4 linked regions of the Astyanax mexicanus genome follow. The protein of the gene in region 4 interacts with the protein of the main gene of each other region in a pairwise test. Links are inferred from orthologs where the notes say so. Each region holds a gene or a part of one and is shown on either strand. Other genes may lie near its edges.

What was found.
Region 1: the proteins of txn2 (region 4) and scyl3 interact in binary tests that used the Homo sapiens proteins (3 or more experiments, as listed by UniProt). The two-hybrid records come from large-scale screens. The link is inferred for Astyanax mexicanus from reciprocal best matches to the Homo sapiens genes TXN2 and SCYL3.
Region 2: the proteins of txn2 (region 4) and ppcdc interact in binary tests that used the Homo sapiens proteins (3 or more experiments, as listed by UniProt). The two-hybrid records come from large-scale screens. The link is inferred for Astyanax mexicanus from reciprocal best matches to the Homo sapiens genes TXN2 and PPCDC.
Region 3: the proteins of txn2 (region 4) and rbm45 interact in binary tests that used the Homo sapiens proteins (3 or more experiments, as listed by UniProt). The two-hybrid records come from large-scale screens. The link is inferred for Astyanax mexicanus from reciprocal best matches to the Homo sapiens genes TXN2 and RBM45.

The regions. Positions count from the first base shown.
Region 1 is NC_064408.1:58,394,631-58,402,276, reverse strand, and holds the start of scyl3 (protein-associating with the carboxyl-terminal domain of ezrin), read left to right. Parts: upstream 1-4,522; 5' UTR 4,523-4,957; intron 4,958-6,536; exon of another isoform or gene 6,537-6,541; 5' UTR 6,542-6,553; coding exon 6,554-6,718; intron 6,719-6,844; coding exon 6,845-7,030; intron 7,031-7,646. UniProt on the Homo sapiens protein: May play a role in regulating cell adhesion/migration complexes in migrating cells.
Region 2 is NC_064416.1:23,550,449-23,558,725, reverse strand, and holds the start of ppcdc (phosphopantothenoylcysteine decarboxylase), read left to right. Parts: upstream 1-5,153; 5' UTR 5,154-5,185; intron 5,186-6,040; 5' UTR 6,041-6,194; coding exon 6,195-6,386; intron 6,387-7,885; coding exon 7,886-7,981; intron 7,982-8,058; coding exon 8,059-8,187; intron 8,188-8,277. Other genes in the region: hacd3 (very-long-chain (3R)-3-hydroxyacyl-CoA dehydratase), read right to left, coding at 1-140, 815-888, 969-1,011, 4,315-4,395. UniProt on the Homo sapiens protein: Catalyzes the decarboxylation of the cysteine moiety of 4-phosphopantothenoylcysteine to form 4'-phosphopantotheine and this reaction forms part of the biosynthesis of coenzyme A.
Region 3 is NC_064418.1:32,369,181-32,377,521, reverse strand, and holds the start of rbm45 (RNA-binding protein 45), read right to left. Parts: upstream 3,496-8,341; 5' UTR 3,083-3,495; coding exon 2,813-3,082; intron 2,228-2,812; coding exon 2,105-2,227; intron 806-2,104; coding exon 679-805; intron 572-678; coding exon 452-571; intron 71-451; coding exon 1-70. UniProt on the Homo sapiens protein: RNA-binding protein with binding specificity for poly(C). May play an important role in neural development.
Region 4 is NC_064410.1:18,704,949-18,712,739, forward strand, and holds the start of txn2 (thioredoxin, mitochondrial), read left to right. Parts: upstream 1-4,634; 5' UTR 4,635-4,742; intron 4,743-5,077; exon of another isoform or gene 5,078-5,147; intron 5,148-5,192; exon of another isoform or gene 5,193-5,252; intron 5,253-5,267; exon of another isoform or gene 5,268-5,341; intron 5,342-5,342; exon of another isoform or gene 5,343-5,382; intron 5,383-6,806; coding exon 6,807-7,066; intron 7,067-7,791.

The sequences.
Region 1 (7,646 bases), on a different chromosome or scaffold from region 4:
TAGCACTTTCTTAAACACAGTTTACAAAGTGCTTTACAGAAAATAATAACACACAAAGTGTAGAAGTTCAATTATTCAAAACAATACTTGAGTCCAGTAAAATAAAAATATAACCATAAAAAGAAATTTTAAAATAATTGAAGTAAGGTAGCTCAAATAAAAGCCTTACAGAACAAAAAAGTCTTAATTTTCCTCTTGAATATGTTTAAATCATTAAGGGCCCTCAGGTCATCTGGGAGAGAGTTCCAGAGTTTAGGGGCGTAGCAACAAAATGCAGCCTCGGAACTCTTTAACCGGGTGGTGGGTACCGTTAGCAAGTTTTTATTTGCCGACCTGAGGGACCTTAAAGGTACATGCCTCTCAATCATACTGCAGAGATATAAAGGAGCAAGACCATGTAAACACTTAAAAGTAAGCAATATTATTTTAAAATCAATTCTATATGATACAGGCAGCCAGTGCAACTCTTTAAGAACGGGTCTAATATGATCCCTTATCTTCACACGTGCTAATACTCTGGCAGCTGCATTTTGGACCCTCTGTAGGCTTGAGATAGTGCTTTTAGGAAGACCAGCAAGCAGTGCATTACAGTAGTCCAGGCGTGATGATACAAATGCATGCAAAAGTTTCTCACTGTCAGTTACTGTTAAAATACGTCTGACCTTAGCTATATTACGAAGATGATAAAATGCTGTTCTGGATACATTACTAATATGCCGTTTAAAGCTTAAGTCATAGTCAAATGTGACACCAAGATTTTTAATATGGTCTTGGGTTTTTACTGATAGGGACTCTAAATAAGATACTGCTTCAATACGCTCGCTACCATTTCCAATGATAATAAATTCAGTTTTATCATCATTGAGCTGTAGAAAATTATAAGTCATCCAGGACTTAATGTCTTTTAAACAGTCAAAAATTAAATCAATAGAACCTTTGGGGTCAGTAGCTAAAGACATATTTAACTGAGTGTCATCTGCATACTGGTGGAATGAGATATTATATTTACTGACAACTCTAGCCAGAGGAAGCATGTAGAGGTTAAAAAGTACTGTTCTTAAAATTGAGCCCTGGGGAACACCGTGAGTAGAAGTACTTTCACCCAATGTCACATAATATTCACGACAAGACAGGTATGACCGGAACCAGTTTAAGACAATACCTGTAAGACCAACCCAGTCTCTTAGACAGTTTAGCAACACACAGTGATCGACTGTATCAAATGCAGCACTAAGGTCAAGAAGAACTATTATAGACAAATTTCCAGCATCTCTGTTTAATCTGAGATCATTCAGAACTTTGGTTAGAGCAGTTTTTGTGCTATGATGTGCTCTAAAACCAGACTGAAATGTTGCATTCAAATCATTACTATCTAAATATTGTTGAAGCTGAAGAGACACTACCTTTTCGATAATTTTACTGCCAAAGAATTGAGCAAATTCATCACATATGCGATTAGAAGGACCATTGAGAGCATCTTGAGCAGCTGCATCACTGCCTGGTTTGGGACCTGCACCGTCTCTGACCGCAAGACCCTCCAGCGTATTGTGAGGACAGCTGAGAGGATCATCGGCGTCTCTCTCCGCTCCATCACGGACATTTACACCACCCGCAGCATCCGCAAAGCAACCAGCATTGTGAATGACCCCACTCATCCCTCACACGAACTGTTCTCCCTCCTGCCTTCGGGAAGAAGGTACCGCAGCATCCGGTCCAGCACGACCAGATTCTGCAACAGCTTCTACCCCCAAGCCATCAGACTCCTTAACTGCAGAGACTGAACTGATGGTTTTTCTGTACATGCACACACACTCTTACCCCACTTACCCCAGAAAATGGAAAGCACTAAAAACCCTACTACCTCACTGGACTCTATTGCACACTGTGTAATAGAGTAATTACTACCTCACCTGGTCTTTTTTGCACACTGCAAAATTTGCACACTGTCTTGTTATTTATTATTCTTTGTCTGTATTGTGTTGTATTGTCTGTCTGCACTTTTGTACTGTTGCACTATTGTTCTGTCTACACTGTGTTTATGTGCACCATGGTCCTTGGAGGAACGTTGTTTCGTTTCACTGTGTACTCTGTATATAGCTGAAATGACAATAAAAACCACTTTGACTTTGACTTTGACTAGAATGCTCTAGTGAAATGTGAGGTGAGTGGTTAACCAACTTGTCAATTGTGGAGAACAGAAATTTAGGATTATTCTGGTGCCTATCAATCAGACTTGAAAAATAGGCTGCCCTTGCATTTTTGATTTGTGAATTAAATTCAATTTGCAGATTTTAAAAAATTTCAAAGTGCACAGTAAGTTTAGTTTGTCTCCATTTTCGTTCTGCTTTCCGGTAATCTATATTTAACTTATTTATTGATGCAGAATTTTTCCACGGAGCTTTAGGAATATTGTGCCTCTGTTTTGTAATTCGAGGTGCTATAGTATTTATACATTCATTTAATCTTAGTATAAAGCTATCTACCCGTCTGTCACAGGAAGTAGCCTTGATAGGTGATAAAGTGCTAAAAAGATCACAGAAACTTGACACTGAGTCATCTGTAAGGTAGCGCTTTGTACTAGTTTTCCTAGTCGTTTTAAAGCTGGCATGCGCAGAAAAGGTAAAGAAAACACAATAATGATCCGAAAGTGCCACATCAAGTATGTTTAACACCTTAGTCTCTACCCCAACGTTAAAACCAAATCTAAGGTGTGGCCATGTTTATGTGTAGGGCCAATTACATGCTGTGTAAGATTAAAAGAATTTAACAGCATAGTAAAATCACGACTAATATGATTAGACGATTTATCAAAATGAATATTAAAATCACCTGTAAATAAGATATGGTCAAAGTCAGTCATTATTTTTGTTAATAAATCACCAAATACATTAAGAAATGCAGGGTGATATCTAGGTGGATGATAAAGTATAATAATTAAAAAAGACTGTTTGCCACTAAACTTAATTGCAAGATACTCAAAAGTACTATATTCCCCAAACCTCTGTTGTATAAGGCATATCTTGCTATGATAAATGCATGCTACTCCCCCACCCTTCTTATTGACTCTTGGAACATTAAAAAAACAGTATTGAGGTGGGGTTGATTCATTTAGAGCAACATTGTCATCACTGCTGAGCCAGGTTTCTGTCAAAAAGAGGATATCCAGCTCATAGTTCTCAACCATTTGACCTATTAAAAAAGGCTTTGCTAGCTAATGATCTAACATTGAGGACTGCAGCACTTAATACCTGTGATACCTCTACTTGTTCAATTGGCTTTAATGTAACTAAATTAGACCTAGCTGATCTGTAAAGAGTGTTCTTATGGATTTTACGACCATGCCACCAGCTATTGCATAACACTGGGATAGTAGACAGTCTCGTAGCATGGTTTCTAGCATGTCAGACTTCTCGCTCCTCAGGAGGTGGTGTAACACAATATTGTGGGTTTTCTGGTCTGTTGTTAATACAAGACCATGTTGCATGATTGATGTCGTACAGTATGTTTGAGTGCAGAAGCCGAGATCCAAGGGAATTGGGGTGTACCCCATCTTGTCGAAAAAGTTCACCACGGTCCCAAAAGATGTTAAAATTGTCAATAAAATTCACCCTGCGATGGGCACAGGTGGAGGAAAGCCAGCTGTTCAGCATAAGTAGCCGGCTGAAGCGCTCATTACCCCGTTTGAAAGCAGGAATCGGCCCAGAGATAAACACCTCAACAGGAGTACTGACACTGACAACAAACTACAGGTCCTGGATAAAAAGTTCTATTTTGGTCTCATCTGACCACAGAACTTTCTTCCATGACTCCTCTGGATCATTCAAATAATCATGGGCAAACTTAAGACGAGCCTGGTCATGTGATAATTTAAACAGGAAAACCTTCTGTGCCATACATGACTTCTGTGCCAAACTATGAGGTCTTAGTGTATTACCTACAATAACCTTGGAAACAGTGGTGCCAGCTCTCTTCAGGTCATTGACCAGCTCCTCCCGTGTAGTTCTGGGCTGATTCCTCATCTTTTTTAGGATCATATGCCACAAGGTTGGTAGGTGTTCGGATAGTTATTTGCAGCAGTAACACACAAATAAATTATTAAAAAATCATACATTGTGATTTACAGATTTTTTTTAGATTACGTCTCTAACAGTGGACCTAAGATGAAAATGTTTGACCCCTCCACTTCTACATTTCTAGAATGGGAGAACTTGCAAAGTCGCAGGGTGTTGACTGTATGTCACTTAGGAACTTCATAAGTTAAGGTGAAGGAGAGAGTGCTGTAGAGAACTTTACACAGATTTTAAAGGAGCTGTCACACATACCTCACCATGGACTCTTTTGGGTTAATTTTACTAGAGTGTATGTTACTCTGTGTCTCTCTTCTTTAGCTTCAGTAGCTACATGTTTAGTGTACTCCTCCATTGGTTTGGACACCTGTGCTTGTGAGCGTCTGACACCTGCATGAAGTCTAGTGTTGTCCAACCTGTAGCCTCGCTCACACCACCGCGGCATGTACCACTGCTGCCCTGCTGGAGGGAAAGAGACAGCGCTAGTTTAGTCTTTTAAAGTTCAGAACAAAGTTCTCGACTGTAGATGTACTAAATTACAGACCTGTGTCTGTAAGGATTAATCCAGTACCGCGCGCTGTGTGTGTGTGAGAGAGAGAGGGGCGGAACAGGGCGCTGGGGGAATGGTTCGGTCCCGGCGGGCGGTTGGCCGGTGTTTATGACTGGGGAACAGGATGTGCGCTGGGCTGCGGGGATAGAGAGTAGGCTGGATGTGTTAATGCTGCCGCTTATCACAGCAGCTCTGTGTCTGCTCTCGGTAATTAACAGTTTGCGGAGAGTCCACCTGACCTGACTGGAGCCGGAGTGTAGAGCTGCAGGTCAGGTCGACATGGGAGCCGCCGGAGAAATCCACTGATTCACTGAGCTGAGGAAGCGACACGGCCGCGCAGGTACCAGCCGGAGGAACTTAGCCTAGCCTAGCCTAGCCTGTCTGACATATACATTTAGTTGTGTTTTGATAGCTAGTGTAGCGTGTCCGTGCCTAACTTAGCTTACATATAGACATATTTAGCTGTGTTTTGGTAGCTAGCTTAGTTTACATATAGACATTCAGCGGTGTTTGGTAGCTACCGTAGCCTAGCTTAAATACACATTTAGCGGTGTTTTGGTAGCTAGCCTAGCTTAGCCTAGCCTACATAGACTTTCAGTGGTGTTTTGGTAGCTAGCATAGCTACACAGCTAAGAGAGCTTAACCAACTAAGTTACAGGCCATAGATTACCAAACTCTAGTGCCCCGCTGGGTGACAAGGTACTCTATTGTTTTAAACGACATTTCACACTTTAGAAATCAGAGAGAGAGAGACAGACTGTGTCTAAATCTCTTGTGTATTTGAGAAACATAACTAACTCCCGTTAGCTAACGTTAACTTTAACGTTAACGTTAACCTGTCAGTTTGGACAGTCTGCTTCCTGTTCAGTGAGAGGCAGAAGTTAGTTAGCTAGTCTCTTGTCAGACATTAGCTAATAGGCCTTGCGGGTACTGGTCACTCAGTAGGATATTTATATTTTTAACTAGATTATATAGCCTAGCTAAGCTGTGCTTTTTTTTACTGGCAATGTCTGTTTTCCTCTACCAGCAGTGGAAGTTCAGAAGCTAATTTAATTTGTTACAAAAATAAAGCCTTTTATCATTTATTTCCAAAGGCTTACCATTCATGATGTCAGTTAAACGTGTTTTATAAATGTATATTTCGCCTTTATCTCGGGTTAATTTTTTGTTAACATAAGTAGGTTAGTAGGTTTATTAAATAAGTATTTTAATTCTTACGTCCCAGAACATAACCACACTACTCTAGCATACCTAATTGATTTTGAGAAAGCGCATCTCACACAGCTCTAAATGAAAATTCCAATAATATTCAGTATTTCCAGTGATATTCAGTTTACACTACACACCTGGCTTATATGTTGGTATAATAACGATGATGCAATTAGGGGTGGGCGATAGTACAATATATTTTATGGTATTGTGATAAATTCTATTATGGTGAAAAGCAGTACATTTTCTCAGCAGTTGCAGAGAGTCTGTCAGTTTTAATGCGTTTTGTCTGTATGCCAAAATGTTGGCCTAAATATTGTGTATTATTAAATGACTTTAAACACTGTGATATAAATATTTGTGCCATATTTACTTTGCAATTATTTCCATAATGGTAATTATCTGGCTATTTGGCCTTGCATCTTCCTCTTACTCATGATACTACTTTCTCATTTTAATGTAAACTGTTTAATGTGATAGCTCTATGTGATCCAGCCATTTCAAGCATTAAACACTCTGGATGCCTGGTTCCTATTACCAAAAATAAACAATTTTGACAAGAACTGAGCTTTTCAAACCAAAGAATGACCTAAATGACAGATTTAATTAAAATTTTAGATTTCTTAATTCGTATGTTCAATAAGAGCAACAAGTCATCAGTGGAATCTAGGAAGTCAGGCAGAATTTTCTATTTTTTTTTTCCCTGACAGAGCAGTTGGCTGCAACCATGGGTGCAGAGAGCAGTGCCCTGCGGAGCTGCATCTTGGAAGAGCCGTTGCTGACGCTGCCTTCAGGACTCACAATGTACTCTGCCATCTTACAGGATGGAAAGGCTGCCTCTGTGTTTGTCTACAAGCAGGGCAATGAAGACAAAGTCAACAAAGCTGCCAAGGTATATTAAGTCAGAACCCTGACTTGTCACAGATGTGAATCTTTTATATGTTTCTTTGTCCATGTTGAGCATTGTCATTATCGGTGTCCCAGAGGGAAGTTATGCTTTTTCCCTATTGCCTTTTAGCACCTGAAGACTCTGAGGCACCCAAGCCTGCTGCGGTTCCTCTCTTGTTCTGTACAGAATGGAGGCATTCACCTGGTAACGGAGAGAGTTAAGCCGTTGGAGTTGCTGCTTGACAGTCTCACGCCAGAAGAGATCTGTGCAGGCATTTATGACCTGTTGCAGGCTCTCGTCTTCCTCCATGACAGGGTAAGGTCCATGGAGTCCCTTAGTTTGGAACAATAATTAAATATATTAATTGGTTTGTTAGGATTAACATTAGATTGTACTTGCTGTTTATAAAGACAGTTTAAAGGATAATAAAAATGCTGAAGATTTTTTGTGCCATTAGAAAAAATAAATTGCATTAAATTAACAACATCACATGTGTAGGTTTATAAATATCCACACAAGTGCTCATTGTTCCTAAACTGTCTTTTTTATGAGATTTTTAAAGGCAAGCATTTTGTAATTCTATAATTGCGTACTGACTGTCTGTTTCTCTGCATAACTTTAACTAGGATATTATTATTATTATTATTATTACTATTATTATTAATGTTTTGACATGCAAAACAAAGTGCATTGGTAGGAACATATTCTTAAAAACAGCTTTTTATGTATATAATTTCACATGCCTAGCACAGGAAAATTGTATTCAAATTGTGCAGCACATCATCCAGTTAATTTAACAGGACTTATTACACTCTTTGTAATGAACTGTGTAGTTGGTTAGTGTTCTTCATGCCTTGAAGATAACCACTATATATTCACTGTTACAACCCCATTTGTTTGTCTAGGGATAAGAGGGGTATGTAACATTGTG
Region 2 (8,277 bases), on a different chromosome or scaffold from region 4:
TCAGATTCATCCAGCCAGCGGTCGAAGTCAGGGGCCAGAAACACAGGCTTCTTCTCCTGCTTAGTGAGACGATCCCACCAGCAATGCCCCTGCTTTCTTACGGCGATGTTCACCTGCCTCTGGGTGGACTTGTGTTTTACCTTTATTTAAAAAAAACAGCAACAACAACATATACTAGAGGTGTGTACAAAAGTTTAGACAATTCAAAAGGACAGGTTTTGTTGACTTTACATGTGAAAATAATTGATAATTTTCCCAATAATTTAATATGCTGCAAAATAATAAAACATAAAATGCTTAAATAGCCACATTTATATTTGTTGTACATATCACAAATATGCTTTTTTATTAAAATGAGCACATAAGTAGAAATTGTGCACATAAACTCAAAAGTTATTTTACAAGCAGTGGACCTGTTAAGTAATTTTGATTAACAATCTGACTACAAGTAAAATTTGGCACAAGGCTGTATTTTAAGCATCAATGACCAACTTCAATGTCTATATAATTTATATAAATGAGTTCAACAGTCCTATAAACACATTTTAATGCACCCTGAAAATGCCAAAAAGCTGTACAAGGGATCACCTGGAAACTGTTCAATTTTAACCAAATTGTGCCTGTTCAAATGTAAGAGAACTTTTTTTTTATTGAACACTAGATACAAATAAACAGGTCTTAAACCCACACTGTAGGTTTCTAACAACATCTGCAAACATCTATAGCTATACTTTCCAATGTTATCCATTAATGTTTCCATCTTCCCTGTCAAATGAAAGTAAATTCCTCATGAATTAAGAGAAACTCAACCCACCTCAGGTTTCACTGGTTTAAGGAACTCCAAGCTGAACTCATATTCATTTTCTCCCTTGGCTCCATGACCCTGGCCTTGAAAAACAACAAAATAAAGTTTAAAATCATGAGAGATGATTCATAGAGTAGCTCTATTAAAGGCAAAACTAACCTACCTCTGAAGCGGAGGACGTTCTCTTGAACACTAATGTCCAGGTTCTGCAAAAGAAACAAACATCACTGTGTGTGAGATCCGCCTGCAGCGTTCCAGCTTTGCATTTTGTGCCTACTACTTTAAATACAGATGAACAAAAATACAGGTCAGTGCTGTTATTGCATAGGTTCAAGATGAATGGTGAAACTACTATCACACCTGAAACAACGGCAAACTCTAGGACTGTTCATTGGTTTAGTTTAGAGGTTCTTACACTTTTTAGACCATGTACCATCTTAACTTAAACTAAGACTTCAACGTACCACCTGCAAGTCATTTCATGAGAACACATGTGCCAAACACATCCACTTATACACAGCAGGATAGATGTGGCCTCAACACATCATGCTTTTATGTCAATGGTTCTTCTTAACCAATTGTATGGAGCAATAAAAATGAAGTGAAGCACTTATCACAAACAACCGTTCTAAAAATTAAAGGTTTTGGCACCAGCAACAGCAACCACAAATGTATGAATTAAGATGTCATGTAATGAGTTAAAAACAGAAGTGCCTAACAAATCTAATAAACTCCAGTATCTAATCAGCCTTTCACACAGAAATGGACACCCAACATTAACCTATAGCTTACAACAATGAGTAGTATTATTGTCTCAGGTAGTGAATCTTAGAGCAAGGTGACAAACTAAAGAGTAATAAAGTCTAACGGCCTGAGAGTTAAAGCTAGTGTATGCATGCATAGCAGGTCACCATAATTCAAAAAGCTAAAAGGAAAGTTGCTTTAATAAGCATCTTTCTACAGTGCAGAGGGGAAGCAAGTTTTATTTCAATAAAGGGAAAACTTTTCACAATTTGCTCACAAGATAAGTTTTATAACATCTACCAGATCAGGTTAATCTTCAGGCTATCTTCATACACAGTGTCTTTTTAAATGTGTGTTCCATCTTTGGTAAAGATAGTGAGTTAATACCACACAAAATAACACAAACTCAGTTTTATCTGCATTAAAAAATTATTTATGGTTATTGAGTGCAACTTGTAAATCATTAAAGTTCTGTTGTGTAAAGAACCATAAATAGTTACCTAGCAACACTGCGCCAAGATTAACAGCCTATCCTGAAGGCCTTTGGCGCTATCCTTATTTGCATTAAACCTGTATACACAATACAGGACTACCTGTAACCGTTCTGTGGAAGCAAAACAATACAACCACTATCAGAGTCTGCTGTGACTACATATGTAGTGTAGAACATACTGTAATTAAGAACACCATTAAAATTGTGACAATATGACAATTTGTGGACAATTTGTTTTGTTCCCATTGTAAATATTATTGCTAACTTAAGAGCTTCACTAATATAATCATAATGCTATTGCACCTTAACGTAATTAATTACACTTTTTTATGTAGGTAAATTAAAATTTAAATTAAATTAAAATTTTAAAGAGCCAGGCACATTTAATGATTAAGAGTATTTAGATATTAGAAATATAAACATCCTAAATAAACAAAAAGTCGACATTCCAGCTTATTCACATGATTAGGTTCTTCTTCTATGTAAATACAAGGAGCAACACTGAGGTCCACAAAAAAGATTGAAGTAACTGTATATCTATAAATTATATGATATGATGACAAACTAAACTAAACTAAACAACTACACAATAAACTACACAATTACTGTGATGGGCCTACTTTGTTAATATGCAAAAACATGACAAAATTAATTAACCCAAATAAATGCTTTCCCTGCGTTGACTGATATTTTAGTTATATGGGTCTTAAAATAACATTATTGAGATTGTTGAGTCCAACCAACTTTTTTCTTAATATTTTAATAGTATTTTGTTTTAGTGTATGGTAAGATATTGCTTCCTAATATAGTTGCAAGTCTAAGAAGCGCCACCAATGCACTGTGTAAGTGTTTTTTTAATGAATATGGTTCTTTTAAAATAATAATACTCACTAAATATCAGTACTTTCCACATTCACACATCTTCTAGGAATTTAAATCAACTAATCGAAAAAATAATCATCAGATTAGTCGCTTAACAAAAGTAAATAATTAAGAGTGTATGGTTGCTTCTGAGCAGATGGTCTCCTTATACAATTGAATGTCTGCTGCAGTGTGTAAATGACAAATGTTGGGGGAAGGTAAGAGGTATTGGGTATTTCAGGGAAACAACAATCCCTATATACAAGCCTGGTGTTCCCATCCAGTGCTCTGTAAATAAATCATGACCTGAAACTGGGACTGGACCAGATGGCAGGTGGTTCACATCTTTGACATCTGGTCATTTTTCTTTTAAGGCAGTGACTATTTGCACTTTGTACAAGTAGCATTTGCAACACAGGGGGGCTAATTGCACCCCTTAATTTAAACTTTTGCAGTGCAGTAATTACTGGAAAAAGCTTATTTGTGGGTAAAATACAGCAAAATATCTTTGTAGAGCCCAGGATTTATGCATTAGTGTGGTAGTTAAGCAATGTCAAGCTTTTAAAATAAAGATTAGTCAAATCGGTTCTTGGATTTTAAAATGGCCATTGTATTCGAACAAAAGAGAGATTCTAGTTGCTAAATTGTGAAACTAAAATGCAGATTTAAGAAAGTACAATGCCAATAGTCACCATCATGCAAAACTTTGTATCTCAGTTTTTGTTTTCTTTCTTTTTTACATAATTTGAATTTTTCAGTTGTTCTTTAAATTGTGTAAAAACGTCATGGTTAATAACTTGGAACAAACGTTTTTTTTTTGTACACTGACTTCCATATAAATATTTTAGTAATAGTACAGGCTAAGACCTAGACGCAATTATTACACACTGATAACCCACACCTGGGTGGAAATAGCGTGTGCCTTTTTAATCAGGTGATTGTTGGGTAACACAGACTTTGAACCCATACTTTGCACTAGATTAATAATGTCTATTTATTCATACTTCACTTCTAACAGTTATTACTAAAGTTGTTATATAAAAAGTATTATTTAAAGTTACACACATCCCACCTGTAAACCGAGGTTAATGGTTGATATTATAGCTGTAGCTCGTTTCTTATTGTCAATAGCTAACGTTAGCTCTAGCTAACTAGGTAACGTTAAACTGTTAGGTTAACTGAGTGCAGAAGGAAATGATGCGGATAGAGCTGAAACACGGTCAGAAATCACGCACGCAGAAACGGAGCAGCTCCATTACTGTCTATATAAGCATTTATTTAAGTGTGTACAGGTTTATAGCGTTAAGTAAGCTGTTGAATCGCTGTTGGACCGGTGTTTGCGGGTAACCGGTGGCTAGCCGGCTGTAGCTAGGTTAACAGCCCCGCAGTCTGAGGGAGGAGCTCCGCTTACCTTGGCGTCGCTGATCTCCACCCGCAGGTAGATATCTCCGTGCCGCTGAGCCCAGAACACGTGCGGGGTGAGGGTCTGCATGGCGGGGATTCGCGGGCGAGTGCTGCCGTCTCCTCTACAGCTCGGGAATGAAGGATGAAGAGCGCCGATACATACCGAGCGCCCTGCCGGAAGACAGCGCGAGCACCAGAATATTCGGTGAAGCGAGTGCGCGCGTGTCTGCGCCGCCAAGAGGCGCTGTGCTCGCGCACGTAGCCGCGCTGCTGGAGTACAGTGGTACAGTACTGCACTGCACCAGAGAACTTCCACCGAGGAGAATACCTAGTCAGCCCGAAATGCAGACTTCCCAAGTTGAAAAAAACTTGCACTATACACTACTGAGACCATATATTATATTATAGGACATAATGTATTTTCTTATTTTTTCAAATGTTTTGTTGCACACTAATTGAGATCTGTTGTTCATCAGAATAGACTATAAACGAGCCAATGAAACAATAGCTTAGCCCCGCTCACTACACTAAAAAACAGCACTAGGAAGATTTAAAAAGCTTTTAAATTAGTGTTTAGGGTTAAGTACAGGCTTCCAATCCAGTAGAAATAAAAACAGTTACTTATTTAATGTTTATATAGATTTAATATTAGAATATTAGTGTGAATTACAGACAAAACACAGCATTATTAATGTTTATATTTTCCCATCACTGTCACATAATTTAGGTCTGAAAGGGTTAATACAGGGTTGATACGTGTTGGTGTAGTGAAGCCTAGGGCCGCTAGGAGCGCTGTTTCAGTTTCACTCCGCCTATCTCAGCAGTGTTGACGGAAGTGAACAGATACAGCGCTTTCTGAGAGCTCGGGGAAGCCTCAGGCTGCGTCCAGAAACTTTTGCTACTCCTCCTCTCCTACTCCTCCTTTCCTACTCCTCCTCTCCTACCCCGGAAGAAGGTGGAGGAATCGAGGAGAGGAGAGGAGGAGGAGGAATGGAGGGAAGGAGCTGTAATTGGGGAAATGGGACAGCTGATCCCTTTTAGATAGGATGTTGACTACCAATGAACTGAGCCAATCACGACGCTCACTTTCAGCAAGTTTCAGAACATTACTATCACACACAGCTAAAAATTCAGATATTCCAATAAAATCCTGTTTACTCCCAGCCGCATTTTTGGCCGCATCTCTGACCAGTGACCCTGGCAGCCCTGTCTGACCTCAGCCTTATGAGGGATTCAGTTCCTCATCAGTCCCTAAGTTAAAATAAATAAGTAAATAAATGAATTAATTAAAAATATATATATATTATAAATAATATATGTTTTTATATGTATAACATGATACACATAGGGTCATAAATATAGTTTTACTGAGCATACAGTTTATCTAAACTATAAATTATATTACTGGCTGTTTAATTAGATAAGGAACCTAGTTAATTAATATGTTTATGACGTATATTTGGGCGTTGCCTTCCCCATTTTCGCGTGCTCTGTGGGCGTGGATGCAGTGATGTCATTGGAAAATCCTTAAAAGTCTTCCGGAGTAGGATACACTGATGTAACCTCCGTTGGAAGCCTACTACAGGTGGATTTTAAGCGGCTTCTTTCGTCTCCTACGGTATTCGGACAGGCGGCAAGATGGCGTCACGAAATCAGTTTCCGGGTCACGGAGGAGAGGAGGAGGATCGGTAGGAAAAAGGAGACACTTTTGGGGTTTCTGGACGCAGCCTCAGTGTTGTTTAAACTGTGGTTTTGTTTTATCGTGTGTTAAAATGATTATAGATTATGCAAACGCGGTTTAACAGAGCTGTAGATCATGAGCGGAGACACAGTTTAATGAAGAGTGACTGTGAATACTGAGACAGAGTTTAGATGTGAAATGAACGAATGTGTTATTCTCCTCTTCGGTTCACTCGGTTATACTTACAGTTAATAATGCAGGCGGGCTCGGTTCTCCCGGCTCTGGTACCGGACCTGAGCTCCAGCGGGTCGCGGTTCCGTGTTCTTGTCTGTGTGACCGGCAGCGTGGCAGCGCTGAAACTGCCTTTGTTGGTGTCGAAGCTACTTGAAATACCAGGGGTAGGTTTATATAAGACTGGGTTATTAGTTTAAACAGTAACTTAGAGTATTAACTAGTTAATCTCTTAACAGGCAAGCACTTTTGTCAATTTTCTGCCTGATATTACACACCTAAATTTTCTATTCAAGCATTACATAAAAAAGGTTTTATGTTTGATAGTAAACGTTACTTCAAATTCTAATTGAAATTGTAATAGACAAAAAAAAATGAAAGTAAATCTGCAACAAAAAAAAAGCACTTTCCTAAAATTCAATCAATATTTTCCTGAATACAATTCAAACAGTTTATGTTTATGTTTTGTTATGTTTGACTAGTTTTTACATCTTTTTTCAAACGTGCAGAATTTTGGTTGATTCCTGTTACTGATCTGGAATTATTAAATGGAGTAGAAAGGAAACAGGCAGCTTCTCCAAGTGACCTGTAGAAGTATTTTTACTGCTGGGACAGAGGACAGGCCATTTTAAGGGGTTAACATGAGTAAACGAATTAATCTAATTTAGCTAGCTGGGTTAATAGTTTTGTGTTTTTATAGTCAGAGAAATCAGTAAACATTTTGATTCCGTATTAGACTGATTAATCCAGCAGAGGGCGCTGCATGAAAACACTAAATTTAATAGTCTAACTGTTTATGTTCAGTGTGCTATTCGGTGGCAAATCACCATTGACGTGATTACTTGAAATGGCAATCACATCGACACCTTCCTAAAACAAGTATTTCAGGAAACACATGAAAAACATATAACAGTTAAATTAATTTTAAAGGCCATAGTCTTTTTTAATAACAATTAACTTTATATTATAGTAAATCCCTTACGAATCACTTAGCAATTGGGGACAACCCTTAATCGTAAAGATTTTATTTAAGTAAATGTAGCCTCCAGCTTGGAAAGATTGTTATTCAGTGGCAAATCAACATTGACATATTAAGTTAATTTCTTGAAATGTCAATTACATCAACACATTCCAAAAATAAGTATGTCAGGAAACATAAAAAATATATGACAGTTGTTATGCTTTTTTTTTAAATATTCAATAGTTTAAGAGGATAATTTATCATACAGTCGAACAGTAGAAATTCAGAGAAATTATGCATTAAAGTTGAACTAATGTCTGCATCACAATTAAATGACCACCTGTGTTCTTTATTTATAACCATTCAATCTAATAATGAACTTCTAAGCCACCCCATTTAGCTAACCAAGTATGTTTAAATTATTACTATTTATTATTTGTATCAGGTTGGATGAATTGTGGTTGGATATGTGTGAGCAGACCTGGAGACCTGTGTTCTCTGGTGTAGCTTTTAGATGCGCTGAGCTCTTCAGACATCTGTTTTTTATCACTACCACAGTGAACAATCCTGACCCATTAGGTTTCTTTTTAAAACACCACAATTCACATCAGGCCACTCAAATGACTTTGCTTAGATTTTAATGGCAGTAGTTAAACAGCATTTTTAAAGGATCTAATGGGTCAAATACTGACTTTTCTTCTGAAGATTGATGTCCGTGTAGTCACCACAGACCATGCCACCCATTTTTACGACCTTGCTGAGGTTCCTGTCCGTGTTTACACAGACAAAGATGAGTGGGGGGTGAGTACTGCCTGTTTTACACAGATTTACTGCTCCAAGTCATGAGAAGATCTTCTTGTGAGTTGTATGTGTTGCAGATGTGGACGACGCGTTCTGACCCCGTGCTGCACATTGAGCTGAGGCGATGGGCCAACCTGCTAGTCATTGCTCCACTGGATGCAAACACACTGGGCAAGATAGCCTGTGGTATCTGTGACAACCTCCTGGTGAGAGATTTATAAAAATGTGTACATACCTAGAAACCACATCAAATGAAGCTCCACTCATTACTAACTCATGAATCTGTACTGCACCAC
Region 3 (8,341 bases), on a different chromosome or scaffold from region 4:
ACCATGAGACATCTTGTGATCAAGTCAGAGTTCCACATATCTCCACCAGAGTAACTACTGGGCTCTGGACCTAAAGGACAACACGTACTGTTTAATACTTTATTTAATTTCATGCATCATTTCAACATAAGAACATTTGTAAAAGTAGGATTGTCTAATACTAACACCAAAATTCACATTGTATGTTGAACACCTAAGTCCCCTAACAACCCACAACAGCACACCCCCACCCCCTTCAGGAATCTTCTTAAATCATTTTTCAAATCCTAGTCAAATTGCAAATTTCTTTATATTCAAATTTTGTATTTTAAAAGTAATGTATTATGCATACTGAAACAAACTAAATCAAATCAAATCATATAGTTTTTTGCTATTACATCCTTCTCAAAAACAACATTTACCTTACAGAAAACTGTCAGAGTAACTGCATTATCATGAGCTAAATACTTACCAAAAGAATAGGCACTTAAGCATTGCTCGCTTGCTACATGATCCGGTCTTGAGCTGGTGAGACAATCTCCCTCGGCAGATGAATTTTTTGTCCGAGGTTCAGCAAGTATGGCTCGAAAACCTGGATGAATCCAAAAAGGTCCATTAAATTTTCATTGTTAAACAGGATCGTTCGTAAACAGGATAACAGGATTAATTGTAAAGGAAAAGAATAATCATGCCGCTTACTTTTGTCACAGTTTTCAATAGCCATGGCTGCTTGGGAGGGTTTGTGAAACCGCACATAGCCCAGTCCTTTACTCTCCCCTGTAGTTTTATTTTTAATAATAATTGCATACTCGATATCTCCATAGGGCTGTAAAGGAAAAACAATGGAATGCATCATGGTTGTGAAATACAACTAACTTACTATAAAATCTAGAACAAGTTCTGTTGAGATTTTATTTCACGCAGAGCCCATACACAAACACACACAAGTGAATAGCAAATAGAGGATGAATTTTCTATAGTTAAAATGTGTTCAATTATGATTAATCTAAAGCCATATGATTATTGACAGAAAATATTAATGAGACTAACTGAAACCAGGGGTCATTTATTCCTGTTCAGTAGGAGTTAGACACTGTTTTATTCTGCTGAAGCACACTTGATTCCACTCATCAGTAAATTGAAGAAGAAAAAAAAAAAATCACTAAAATGCTGAAATGAGCTAGAGTGTGTTCCTAATAATCATTGCCCTGCATAGACACTCAATAAGCCTTTACAATGTTTTCTACTACTATTGGGATTGAATAACAGTGCATAAGACAGATAATCACACTAAAGGTTTGATTAAGTGTGAAAATATTCAGTGACAGATTTATTGTGTTCTGGAAGAGCAAGATGTTTAAGCGATGCCAGGCTTTTATAATTAACTTCTTAATTTTACTCTTTCATTTTCTCGTTCCATATCCTCTTGTTACGTGTCGGAGCGTTGGGTTGTTTTTTTCTGCTCACTCCCTTTCAGTTTTCCTATTTTGTGCCATGTTTATGATTTTATTTTACTGTAACACTCTACCTAATGACAGACAGATGCAGCTGTTTGAAGAAGGGGTAGATTTTTTTTATTATTATATTGTTTCCACATTGTTTTTTTTAACTTATGTTATTTAGGAAGCTTATGGAGCCTTGGAGATTTGGTCTAGAGACACTAAGAGATACATGGCTGCCACTGCTTATTGTAAATTTAGTCAGATACTTAGGGCCGAGGTTTGGGTTTACTCTTAGTTTAGTGCATTATATTATTTCCTTTTCTTCATTGCCATCCATTATCTTCACTCCAGGCAAATCAATGTTTTCTTGCTTAATGTTTTTTGTTAGGAAACGTTTTATTTTCAAGCTCTAGTAGCTTTGTCACTGCAGCTGATAAAATCTGCCCTTGAGCTATCCCCTATTCTCCTGTGTCTTGTTTCTAGTTGGGCACACTCTTGTGCTTTGCAATGGCAATTTTGTGTGAAGCATGTAAAAGCAAAAATCTAAAAAATTTCTCCACAATGCTACACTAGGTGGTTCTAGTTTAGGGATTATATAAATATTAAATAAAAGTGTTATTACTGAACATCAGCTGTGTATGTCACAAACACACATGTTGATGCAGCCCTAGTCCAGGTAGTACCTTAAAAGTCTCTTTCAGATCATCTTCAGTAAAGGTTTTTGGGATCATTACAAAGATCCTGGTCAGCTCTTCATCCTCCACGTCTCTGTGGCTTCCAGAAGACCTGGACTGGGCAATGAATACCTGTTCAAGCAAAAAAAAAAAAAAAAAAAAAAAAACAGATGACTACACTGTAAAAAATCCATTGGCAAAAAAAAAAAAAACTAGACAAAAAGTTTCGTAAATGACTGAAGTAAGACTTTAATCGGGCAAATATCACTGATCTTTTGGCTTACATTTGGATTCAAGAATCCAGTTCTTATTTTTAATTAATTTTGTAAACTAAGGGGGAAATTATAGACGGATTAAGAGTGATTATAGACTGATTAAGATCAATAATTCTAAAATAAGAAAAAAAAAAAAACAATCTTACACGTCTCTAGTAGATACATAAAAGGAAATGAGAACAGTGTGATTTTTTATATGCTTAACACTGCAAAAAAAGTAGTATAAAAAGTGATAATTAGAGGTGGGTGACAGCACGATATTTCAGGGTATAATATCGTTCACGATATTAAAAAATATTATCGGTATTATCGCGTATAATAGCCCTACTGGAGACAGAGCTTTTCCATAACAGCTTTCTCAGCTAAGCTAGCTACAATAGAATGCAAACCGCTCCACAATAAAACGGAGAACAAAAAAACTCAAATGGAAATAAATTCACACCTTAATGGGTTTGGTTCCTTCAGCCAGGCATCTACCGTGCATCTCCTCCATCGCAGTGCATGCTTGAGAAGACTTGGAGAATTTAACAAACGACACGCCCTTCGACTCTTTCGTGTGTTTGTCTTTTACAACCCAAATGTCCTGGATGTCTCCGAAAGTGGAAAAATGCTCCCGGATTATATCTTCGGTGATGGATTTGCTGGTAACAAGAAACAACCGACTATTTGGGGGCTCGTCGAGATATGAGGGCGTCCTGGTGATCTCCTCCATATTGAAGCCGCTGTTGTGCTAGCCCTGCAAGCTAGCCGAGGGTTTAGCTTTACTGCAGCTGTTCTCTCCACTGGATTTCAGAAATGGAAACCGCAGAGCTGCACAAATGAGCTTAGCGTACCTTTAGTTAATTAAATAACGTTTTAAATTTCTCAACAGATAACCGCAATGACACCGAAAACACTAACGTTAATTCTGTTGCAGTCATGTAGTTTAGCTTCCATAAATAATCGGTCTGCGCAGGTTCCCTAGCTACAGAGACCTACGCAGCGGCTCACACTTCAAAATAAAAGTCCTCTTCCTGGCCTGAGGTGGGAAGTCAAGTAACAAGTACACTACGGCTCAATCCCATTTCTGTTTATTTTTTCTCCTTTCATCTTGTTTTGAGATCTACTGTTCTGCAAGTTTGTTCATCAACCTTCTGGGCTGGAGAGCTGCTTGTCTGTAACACTCCACATGGGCGTGGTAGTGGGAGGAAAAGTGGACCTGACTATCAAGGAAGTAGGGAGAGGGGCCCATGAAAAGTCCAGATTTTTTTTTTTCGCTCATGTTCCTTGTGTACTGGCATGGATAGCGGCCCACTGACATTGAGAGTGTACAGGGCCCAGAATTTGCTGCTACGCCCCTGCCAACCATCCCTGCTAAGCCTAATATATTAATTTTAAAACTGGGGTGTCGGTCGCAGGTGTTCTTCTGGCCACGTCACATGTCTTTACGTACTTATGTCCAGTGATGTCAGTAACGAGTAATCTAACGTGTTACTATATCCAATGCAGTAATCAGATTAAAGTTACTTATCCTGTGTCACTGTGCGTTACTCTCTCTCTCCACCTCACACACACACACACACACACACACACACACACACACACACACACACACACACACACACACACCGCGTTCCCTTTTTTATTCATGTTTAAAATTAAATTTCTCCTGATTTTCCCATAATGCCAAAACAGGTCCACTACCATTTGAAAGAGTCTGTCCTAGGCTATCACCTCTGTAAGTTTGGGCAAATTTCACTGTATTGTTTATTTTATATTAATTTTTTATTATTTTTTACTCATGCTTAAAATTAAATTTCTCATGATTTTCCCATAATGCCAAAACAGGTCGATGACCATTTGAAAGAGTACAACATAGGCTATCACCTCTGCAAGTTTGGGCAAATTTTACTGTATTGATTATTTTATAATAATTAAAAAAAATTTATTTATGCTTAAAATATTTTTTTTTCATGATTTTCCCATAATGCCAAAACAGATCCATGACCATTTGAAAGAGTCTGTCCTAGGCTATGACTCCTGCAAGTTTGGGCAAGTTGTACTGTTTTGTTTATTTTATCTTATCTTCATTTTGTTATATTCTATTTTTATTGTATTCTTTTATTTTGTTGTCTTACTTTATTTATATATCTATTTTAACAACAGCTCTTGGGTGTAAACTGAATCGTGAGATCACAATTTCGTTCCACCTCATGAACCAAATGTGATACGAATGACAGTAAAATCTCCTTGAATCCTTGAAAACAGGTCCAGTACCATTTGAAAGAGTCTGTCCTAGGCTATCACCTCTGCAGGTTTGGGCAAATTTCACTGTTTTGTTTATTTTTAATACTTGCTAGTATCAGATGTAAAGTCTTTCTCCAATAAGCCATCACAGGGCCACTGTGAGGCAGTCCTATCAGTTCCTCAGGCTATCAGCACTGCGTATTTCTGCAGGTTTCACTATAGATAGCCCCTTGCACTTGAGGTATTGGATTTAAGGTGATGGTTTTAAACTCACACCCCCTGTTTCTAGCACAGGTGTCTTTAACAGGTGATTTCTAGACTAGACTGTTTAGAAATATGCTGAGCAGTTTAATGGTGGAACAGTTAAGTGGACCTTTTTGTTTTCTTTGTTTTGGCATTATTGGAAAATCATGAGAATTTTCATTTACAGCATGGATTAAAAAAATAATAATAATATAAAATAAACAATACAGTAAAATCTACCCAAAATTTCAGTGGTCATAGCCTAGGACAGACTCTTTCAAATTGTAGTGGAACTGTTTTGGCATTATGGGAAAATCATGAGAAATTTAATTTTAAGCATGAATAAAAAATAAAAAAAATTATATAAAATAAACAATACAGTGCAATTTGCCCAAACTTGCAGGAGTCATAGGCTAGAAAATACTCTTTCAAATGGTAATGGACCTGTTTTGGCATTATGGGTAAATCATGAGAAATTACATTTTAAGCATGAATAAAAAATAAAAAAATTAATATAAAATAAACAATACAGTGAAATTTGCCCAAACTTGCAGGAGTCATAGCCTATGTTGTACTCTTTCAAATGGCCATGGACCTGTTTTGGCATTATGGGAAAATCATGAGTAATTTAATTTTAAACATGAATAAAAAATAAAAATAATATAATATAAAATAAACAATACAGTGAAATTTGCCCAAACTTGCAGGAGTCATAGCCTATGTTGTACTCTTTCAAATGGTCATGGACCTGTTTTGGCATTATGGAAAAATCATGAGTAATTTAATTTTAAACATGAATAAAAAAAAAAAAATATATATATATATATATATATATATATATATATATATATATATATATATATATATATATATATATATATATAAAATAAACAATAAACAATACAGTGAAATTTGCCCAAACGTGCAGAGGTGATAGCCTAGGACAGACTCTTTCAAATGGTAGTGGACCTGTTTTGGCATTATGGGAAAATCATGAGAAATTTAATTTTAAGCATGAATAAAAAATAAAAAAATGAATATAAAATAAACAATACAGTGACATTTGCCAAAACTTGCAGGAGTCATAGCCTATGTTGTACTCTTTCAAATGGTCATTGATCTGTTTTGGCATTATGGAAAAATCATGAGAAATTTAATTTTAAACATGCATACATTTTTTTTATTAATATAAAATAAACAATACAGTGCAATTTGCCCAAATTTGCAGAGGTAATAGTCTAGGATGGACTCTTTTAAGAGGTACTGGATCTGTTTTGGCCTTTTGGGAAACTCATGAGAAATTTTATTTGAAGCATGGATTGAAAAAGTAATATTAATATAAAACTCTCTCTCTCTCTCTTAAAAACCGATGGGATTGTTATGGTATTATATCACATAGATAATGTACTGCACAAAATCTACAGTGAGGTGAGTTATTTTAACCCGTTTTCTTCTCGTTTCTGGGCTTAATGTATGTCTGAATTAATATAAGTTAACCGATTGAAACGTGTCTGTCTCCCCTTCTCTGTGTGTGCTCTCCTCCTGCGCGTCTGTTTACCGTAAAATCGCGCGTATACGCCCATCAAAGATTAAAGCGCGGATGACTTGACTAGGAATTTCCGAAGCGCGGATAGCTTGACTCCGGTAAAACACCAGCATAGATATACTCCTTAATAACTGCCCACATCTTCCCCAAGGTACACAGCAGACACAGCCGGCCCATCGGGAATCCTCACGAATCTCTCGATTAGCCACTCCGGGCCTGGACACACTGACAAAGTTGTAATTAACTGATTTCCAATTCCCAGTCTTCATTATTCATCTTTTAATAATGCTTTTTCCGCCCAATTCCTTTGGAGGGGAGTGCAGACATATGTTCTCAGTCTTCAAACTGATTGGGCATAAAAAAGGCCACTGCAAATTTCATATTTCTTTATTTGTGGATTTCATGCATCTGTTTGCCAGTATTCATGCCCTTAGTGCTGTCATTATCAGCCAGCATTGGCAGAGCAGCCAAAAAATACTGAGAGCATGTGTGCTGTTTGACAAAAAGGTTAATTTATATAAAATAAAAAAACACTTGAGGCTTGTAGTGTAAAGACAGCCACTGACACTGGTGATTTTTTTTTTTTAGATTTTATATAACATTTTATTATTTTATTGTTTATTCTATTATAATTCTGGTCTAAGTGATTCCTAAATGGCCAGTGAGTTTATTTAACTGCGACTGAGTGAATACAGCTGTTCAGCCCAAGGTGTGTTAAGAACAGTTTTTTTAGTCCGGTGTTCTGTCAATTTTCCTACCCATCGATACATGCTTCCCAAAGGTACTGCGCATGCGCCGACCTACACAATTTAATTCTTTCTCGTGTTTTATGTATAATTAATCTGGATTAGGGGGGTTTATGTGCATTAAACAACCTGGACGCACTGTCATTGCACAAAAGTGTAAATGGAAACTAAAATTTACACTTATTATCATAAATAAATACAAAAGCAGTTTGTAATGAGCTATATTTACTATAACTTTGCCATGGTACAATGAATTATGCAATCCAAATCTAATAACGTACATCTACTGGAATATCACTGGGTACATGCCCTAAAACAGTGCTTCTTTTGTATTTTTACAGTTAAATATACATTGGGGCAGCACGGTTCGACAAGGTAGCAGAATTCGACAGAACACCGGCCCTGTTTCTCCAGTCCAGCTCCGCCCGTGCTCTCATCAACAGACTTTTGGAAGAAACCAAAGTCACTGGAAAAGAGGGGGAGATCTGAGATTTTGAGGCATGATATTTAATATAATTTAAAATAATATATTTCACCGTTCCTATTAAATTATGATTATTCACGTTTATATCTCACGTTTTAATACAATATAACATATAATGAATATATTAAAACACACAAATTAAAAACCTTTCGGGCAACAAAAACCCCCGAACCTAGTTTTGAATGGTCGTGGCTCCACTCCACTGAATCAGTAGCCACAAGAAAGACGTCCTTTTTTCCGGGAGCTGCATGGGGACTGCAGGAGTCCAAAGCCTCGCTGTGATTTATGGGGAACAGTTATATATTGGGTCAAATAATCCAGTATTTCTTCACTCTGGTGCTGAAGGTCCGCTGCGGTGCTCTTTACTGTGTTTCCCTGTTCCTCTGTTTTCGTTTAAAGCCCCTCAGTCTTAAAACAGCGGCACTAGCGGGCCTCCAGCGGGCCTCCAGCACCACTAGTGATTACCCTGCCGGAATAGATTATCGTAGCGCGGCGGAGCTCTGTAAGTCCCGGTGAGTAATTTAGTTAGCTGACTGTTTCAGCTCTCGGTGAAGCGCGGTCTTATTATGATACTTAATCAGCTCTTAAACAGCGCTGTGTGTTTGTTTTGTTTCTAAACGAGCAGGTGCTGCTGCAGGTAATCAAGCTAACTGTAGCTAATTAGCTTAGCCAGCCATCCTCCACTCGCTAGCTCGCTGACGTTAGCTATCTTACAGCGTTATTCGC
Region 4 (7,791 bases):
ATATTTGACTGATATTTGACCTCATGCATTTCTCTCCTGCACTGAAGAGCAATTTAGGAGAAGAAAATACCAGACAAAATAAGTTATGAACTACTTCACTTTTACACAATGTGACCTTGTTGTGTCAAACCAATAGTAAAATATAAATATATATGTACATAGTCACATTTTGATAAAGGTAATTCGATTTATTCTCATTTTGTCTGGTATTTTTCTTACAGTCCTTAACCCTTTCATGCATAGAGGTCACTACAGTGTACAGCTGTTTAAAATTGTTTTTTCTTTAAATATGCTTGCAATTTTGGGCACTGCTGCATATAGTCCACTGTAGTGGAAGCTATTGCATCATCCTATACAAAAAAATCCCATTGGTTGGTCATTGTAATGGGAAAAAGAAGTCAATGAAATCAAGATGGCCGGCAGACAGGGAAAACCACCAAACACCTTGGCTATTTTTGTTTCTACCTTTTATAAAATTATATCACTGCAGGTAAAAAAATATATAATTACATCAAGTAACATCTAAGGTGACATATTATGTAAAGATTTTCGAAATTTTGATTTTATATTTGAGGGAATTGTAGATTAATCATCTGTCCACTTAATTGTACATCATGCATCATTAGCTATTTTTCAACTTTAATGCAATGTCAATTACTTCCAGTGTTGTTTTTAAAATAATTCATATTGTTTAATGTTTTGGCTGTAAATCAACTTCTTTAATTGAGGAATGGCTGCCAGTACAGACAGTTGCAAGCAGAGAAGTAGGGTCAAGCAGTGATAGTGAAGGTGAGTCTGGAAATGTTACTGAGGGAGTTGAGGCTGAGGAACGGAGATGAAGGAGATGACGCTGTTGAAACTAAGGGCACCCCAATATCCAGTATGCCCCTGGAAACCACTGGCCCCAGCTCAAGAAAGTATAAAATGCCAGCACACGAAGAACCAAGTACATCTGCATGCAGTGTCTTGTAGCTTTGTGCCCTGTATGCTTTGGCAACCATCATAGAAAATAGTCTCAGAAATTAGCAACAAGCATGATTTGACAGGAAATATGATACATGCTATAAAATACTATAAGAGAATATGCTCACTTAACAGTTCAGAGACTTGACAAGAATACAGTATGATAATACCAGTCACAATCAAGATTCTATAAGGTTCTACGGTTCAGAGACATTTTCTTGCGTCACAATATCCTCCTCAGTTCCACTATTCCAACAGAATACCATATTACAACTGTATAACTGAATTACATTTGTGTTTTTTTTACAACAAAAAATGCATGAAGTACACTTGAGTGGACAGATAAATATTTCTTTATCGAATAAAGATAGAATATATATTTTTTTCAAACCTTGTTTTACATCCCTAAGGATGTATAAAAACACTTAGAAAAAAAATCCTGACTGAGTTTATTATAATTCATGCATGAGAGGGTTAAGGTGCCGCTGGGTGCTGGATTGTGCCTCAATCTTGGTCAAATGTAATCATATATAAGTTATGTTCAGTAAAACTAAAGTACTACATTAAAAACTGAAAAGTTCAGTATAGGTGGTAGATATAGTGTATCATTGTTTGAACATTTGAACTGACACATTTTAAGACTTCGAATTCCAGTTACACAGTACAGCGTCACTCTCACGCCCTCCCTGATTAAAACCCCTGCTCTAGAATAAACGTAATACTAGGGACGAGGACATGAAGGACTGAAAAAAGAGAGAAAGAAAATGATAGACAGACACAGAGATGGACAGAGAGGTATACGTGATTCTGGCAAACTGACAAAACTGAGCAAAACAAAACAAACCACAACCCACATCCCAGTCACCAGAAATCACTCCACACTGATTCCTCACACAGTCAGACTAGGCCAAGAACAGAGGATGAAAGAAAAGAATAGAGAGAGTAGAGGATGAACAGAGAACTCACGGCTCTGATGTTTTCCCTCCTTTCAGAAAAACCACGGCAGCCTCAGCCTCCCGTTACCATGGAGTCTCCCAGGACCGCCTCTACATCCTCCACTTCTACACTCTCTCTCCCTCTAAATCTCTCTCACTCTCTCTCTCTCTCTCTCTCTCTCTCTCTCAATCACTTGCTCACTCATTCTCTCTCTCTTTTTCTCTTTTATCCCTAGCTTGCTCTCTCTCCCAGATGAAAAGGTGGGCGACTCTTGTTTTCTCTTTTAAGTCTCTCCCTCCATCAATTATGAATGGGAGTGGTCAGTCAGTGGAGGGCAGGAATCAGCATGATAAAGGGAGGGATGGATGCTGAAGGTTCTGACCTCTCTTTAATTCGTTATATTTATGTAAAGAGTAAACGGCGCTGAGAGAGCACATGGTCTGGAGTTCAGAACCCAACAGGCTGTTGACCTTAAGCCTCCTAAATAATTATGCAAATTGGATTGGGTTTGAAACTAGGGTGACGGTTCACAAAACGCTGCAGCTCCAATTCCCCTGTCTGAACATTATTACTAGTGAAAAGCGAACTATTTAATAAAAGTAATATGTTTATTTCCTTTATTTGCTATTTAATTATCTCAGATATCGTTTCATAAATTTAATGCAAGCAGTGTCTAACATTAAATATTTTAATATGTACTTTTAATTTACTCTGAACACATTATTACACATATAAAGGAATATTAAACTTAACTTTTTACACATTGTGTCCAGTTTTCTTTAATGTGGAGCGTAATTTCTTCAGGATGGTAAATTGAATGGTGTGACAGGGTAAAAAAATATATATATATTTAGTCATAACTGACAAACAAATGGTTACATGGGGCTCCAAGTAATTCAGTGGACTGAAGTGCTGCCACTATGATCTGAGTATCGCCTGTTAGAATCCCATGGAACACTCTCTCAGACTCCATCAGCAGCCAGAGTCCAGGAGAGTAGAGTAGGTCACTCTCTCTCTGGGTGGTTACAGTAGGTGGCGCTCTCTCCCCTCATCACTCCCATTGATGCTAGTCAGTACAGGCATCCGTTAGCTAATGTTTCAGAGCTGGGTTTGCATCAGTGGCAGTTAGAAAACCGTCCTAGTGATAGTGACTGGGGGCTGTAATTGGCCTTCCATATTAAGGCAGAAAATATGAATTTTTTTTATAAAAATGCTATGGAATATTTAGTATTCTATCATGGTACCACAAGACCAATTAATTTTTTACAAACATTTATAGAAGCAAACTGCATGCCTGCCGCTTGCTTTTATACACCTGTGACCATGGAATACTTTTGGCAATATAGTGTATGTCTGATGTCTACTATTAAAAACACATTTTTTTTCATACACCTCAGAAATTGTACCTAACACTACAAGCTCAAAACAGTCTAGATTGTTCTCTTTGAACCAGAATACCTTATATCAGTATTACTTTGTTTTGTTCTCGAGTGTTTACGTGAATGTTGATAAAATAATTATATTGTTTTGTTACTAGTTTATAAGTTAAATAAATTATTATAAATTAATATAAATTATTAATTAAATAAGCATTGATACTACTTTATTTTATTAATCCCCAGTTGGGCATATTCATTTTACACAAATAACACAACTGTACAACACATATCAGTATACAATCCACTCTTAACAGTAAAACACAAAACACTACAGGGGCATTCCACTGAATGGGTCCCATTTGCTTGTTGTAACTCTTCCTTAATTTTTTTTTTATCTTTTGTCAACTCTGAATCTAGTAACACATGTATTTAACTATTCAATACATGTACTGATCAAACTCAGGCAGCTTTACTTAATTTTTTACAAGGTTTCTGATCGAAGATGGTTACATTTCTTTCAGTCATTCAAGTGACATTTAAAAATCATGTTTAAAAGCAAGTTCGCTAATTCCTTTGATTTTCTCTCAAGAAAGTGTTTATTTAAAAATATTGGTTGACTGCATGTTCAAAAAACTGATATGACATACAAATCAATCTATATGCATGCACATATTTTTCTAAAAGACGCATTGCTATTTTATCTTATCTAGAAGACCCAAACCTGAAATTGATCAAATTTATGAATATGCAATTTCTTAAACAATTGATAAATTATGAACCAAACAAAATTGGAAAAAGTGGTTTACATTAAATAATATTCACATGAATATATGGGTATAGATGGGGTAATGTGTTACGATAACAGGACTGAGTGATAACCTAGGGACACAACTAAAATGTGTATTTTAACTTAAATATTCTGTATTTATAGTGGGGAAAAATAAGCATATGTGGGATTTGGAGTCACACAACAATGTGAAAAAATTACATCTGTGAAGGATTTTAATAATTATATCTCATGGTAAAGTTTATAGTTGGAGAGGGGGGCAGGTAATAAATGCCACTTTTTCAGAGTTCTGGGTATTTTTTTATTTATGTTTTTAATTAAATATCTTACTTTTGCAATTAGGTCAATGTACAAGACTATATAGAATATGCCTACTAAGAACATATCAGTAAGAGGTGTTATACAGCCTTACAGCGGCAGGAATTAAAGATCTCTAGCCCGAGGTCAGTCTGTAGAGCTGAACAGTGTCAGGTAATGATGTGCACGCGCTGGGTAATGAACAGCTGGTCGGTGTACGGGCTGCAGTAACGGTGTGAGCGGGTGTAATACTGCGCTGGGGCGCGCGGCGGAGCTGCACGGGGCACGAGGCCCAAACTCCGCCGCTTCTACGCTCGCGGAAACAGTTCACCTCCAGGGTCCGTGCGGCCAGTCAGTGTTTACAAGCGGAGCTTCAGAAGGTGAGTAGCGCTGATTTTACCTGTACCGCGCGGGAATTACCGTCATTTAACACTTTATTCCCGTCGTTGTAGCGGTAAAACGTGTCGCTCGTGCTGCTGGCCGGACGCGAGTCTGAGCGCGAGACTAAGCGCGAGACACGCGGGGGGCAAAGTCAAGGAGGTTACAGGGGGAGGGGGGTTACAGACCCAGCACAGACAGACCCGCTAGATACCCATCAGACAGACCCAGAACAGACAGACCCGCCACAGACAGACTCAGAACAGACGGACCCGCCACAGACAGACTCAGAACAGACAGACTCAGAACAGACAGACTCAGAACAGACAGACCCAGAACAGACAGACCCGACACAGACAGACTCAGAACAGACAGACCCGCCACAGACAGACTCAGAACAGACAGACCTGCCACAGACAGACTCAGAACAGACAGACCTGCCACAGACAGACTCAGAACAGACAGACCTGCCACAGACAGACTCAGAACAGACAGACCTGCCACAGACAGACCTGCCACAGACAGACCCGCCACAGACAGACCCGCCACAGACAGACTCAGAACAGACAGACCCGCTACAGACAGACCCGCCACAGACAGACTCAGAACAGACAGACCCGCCACAGACAGACTCAGAACAGACAGACCCAACACAGACAGACCTCTCACAGACCCAGCTTGTACAGACAGACCCAACACCATACAGACTCGGCTTGTACAAACGCAGCATAGAACCTTCATACACCCAACACAGACAAAGTTTATACAGTGCTAGCACAGACCAGACCCTTCACAAAAAGAGACAGTTTATATAGACCCAGCACACAACACAGACCAGACACGGCATAGACTGACCCGGCACAGACCCAGTTTGTACAGAGAATAAGTGTTTAACCAGTGTTCATTTTTCATCTCTAATGCACTGAAGCAATCTTGATCTCTGGCATTAGAATTGATGTATTTGTGCATTGATGTAACATTTAGATGTTATATGTATTGTTTGTATAAAATGTTACATACATTGAATATGTATATTTTGATTTTATTCTATTGTAATAGATTGTATGGTGTTTCTGCAGTGTATAAAAGGATATTTAAACAATCATAAAAAATATATAAATATTATTAATATTATTTTAAGGGAGCACCTAGAAGTCAATCATGCAACATCATAATATAAGAAAAGCAATCTGTACATCAATAATTATAGTACAACAAGTCTTATTGAGAATATACAGTATAATAGTTAGATTATGTCAAATAAGAGCAATGAGGTTTTTAAAAAAAATATTTGACATTTCACAAAACATTGCACTTCCTGCGATGTGACCAACGAGCATGTGTACATTTCAGTATTGATTCTAAACCTTTTGTTGTTGTGTAAAACCTAATCTCTGTGTGGTTTTGAGAAGGACAGAGAGAGAAAAAGAGAGAAGAGGAGCGATAATTTATATTTCAACATAAACCTAGGTACTTCCTGAACTCCTGAGACTGTGTGTACGACCCTTCAGTCGTACACTCTTGAAGGTCTAGCGAATGGGAGACTCTCCTTAGCATAACATAGAGATGTTGTTATGGCTGAAAACCCTTTGTTTTGTACATGCTTTTCCCTGAACTATTGATAACAGTTACCACGTGTATACAACCATGTAGGTCATAAATATAGCATTGTAATTAATAAATTGGGGCTTAGAGATTAATCAGATTGATTTGATTAAGTAAACTCCTGTTTTAAAGCCATTTTTGAAGTGGGATAATGGAGTACATCTTTGCCATTGGAATCTCAGTAGATAGAGATTTGCTTCTGTCACAAACCTGTAAATAACAGAATGTGGCAGGGATTTACATATCTTTATGTTTTTCTTAACTGAAATACAAGGAGGTTATGTTTACACCATGTTTAATATACAATAGCTTGCGCAGCACTTTAAATTGTGCTGTCCATTTTATCAAATAAAAAATAAATAAAAATGTAATTTGTAATAATGAATCACTCGTATATTAAAAAAAGAGAGATTTTCTCTTTTCAGTATCATAATCAGTGCTTCTCTTCTCTCCTCTGTCAGATGGCTACTCGGCTCCTCGCACGGAGAATTTGGAGCGTCACTGTGAAAGATTTCCGCCGCCTGCCTGTCACAGTCTCAGCCTCTTCATCGTACTCTTCCTCGCTAACCCACTCCCCCAGACCACAGCCTCTCCTGGCCCGCTCTCACTCGCTCCCTCTGATCTCATATAGAGCCGTCTCCTTCAATGTCCAGGACCAAGACGACTTCACAGAGAGGGTCATCAACAGCGACCTGCCTGTGGTCATAGACTTCCACGCCCAGTACGTATTCTCAATGATCTGATAAGCCAATCAATTTAAGCAGCTTCAGCTGTTTGAATATTGCTGTATATAGCTGCAGTAGTAGGGAAAGCATATCCTAAAGAGCAACACAGTGAAATGACTAGAAAAAGGGAGAGAGCAGGAGTGACAGCACGAATGAGAGCAAGAGACAGTACTAGCGCCTGTGAAATTTTAGTGATGTGTGGACAACTTGAATGGTCTATGTGCAAGCTCTCCACTTTGTATGCGTCAGGGCAACGTGACGGCTGTTTTTTACTGCGCTGTGCTTGTCTCTTGATCTGATTTACCTCGCCTGCATGTAGAGCTGCGTGTAGCGCTTGCTATAGTGCTCCATGTTGTGTTAAGACGATTGCCAACAGAGGAAAAACGAGACAGAGAAAAAGAAGACCGTTTGCTGCATTTCATTTAAAATTGGAAGTGTAAATTTTTAATTATAATAAGAAATTTTAACTGGAAAGTTGGGAGAACCTTACCAACCCCAAGTTCACAATCCACAATGGCTGCCTCTACAACATCTATAGTAGCAATGCTAACCTGGGCCAATGCTAACAGTGAAAGCGGTTTGAAACGCAGAAAACTAGGGAATGACATCGTTATCAGAAGCGATCGTCCCTATAAATTTGGCAAGTGAGCTGTAGGAGTGTTCTAGTAAAAAAAAACTCCTCTTCACACTAGGAAATTCAGAATTCCCAGTTAAAATGAAA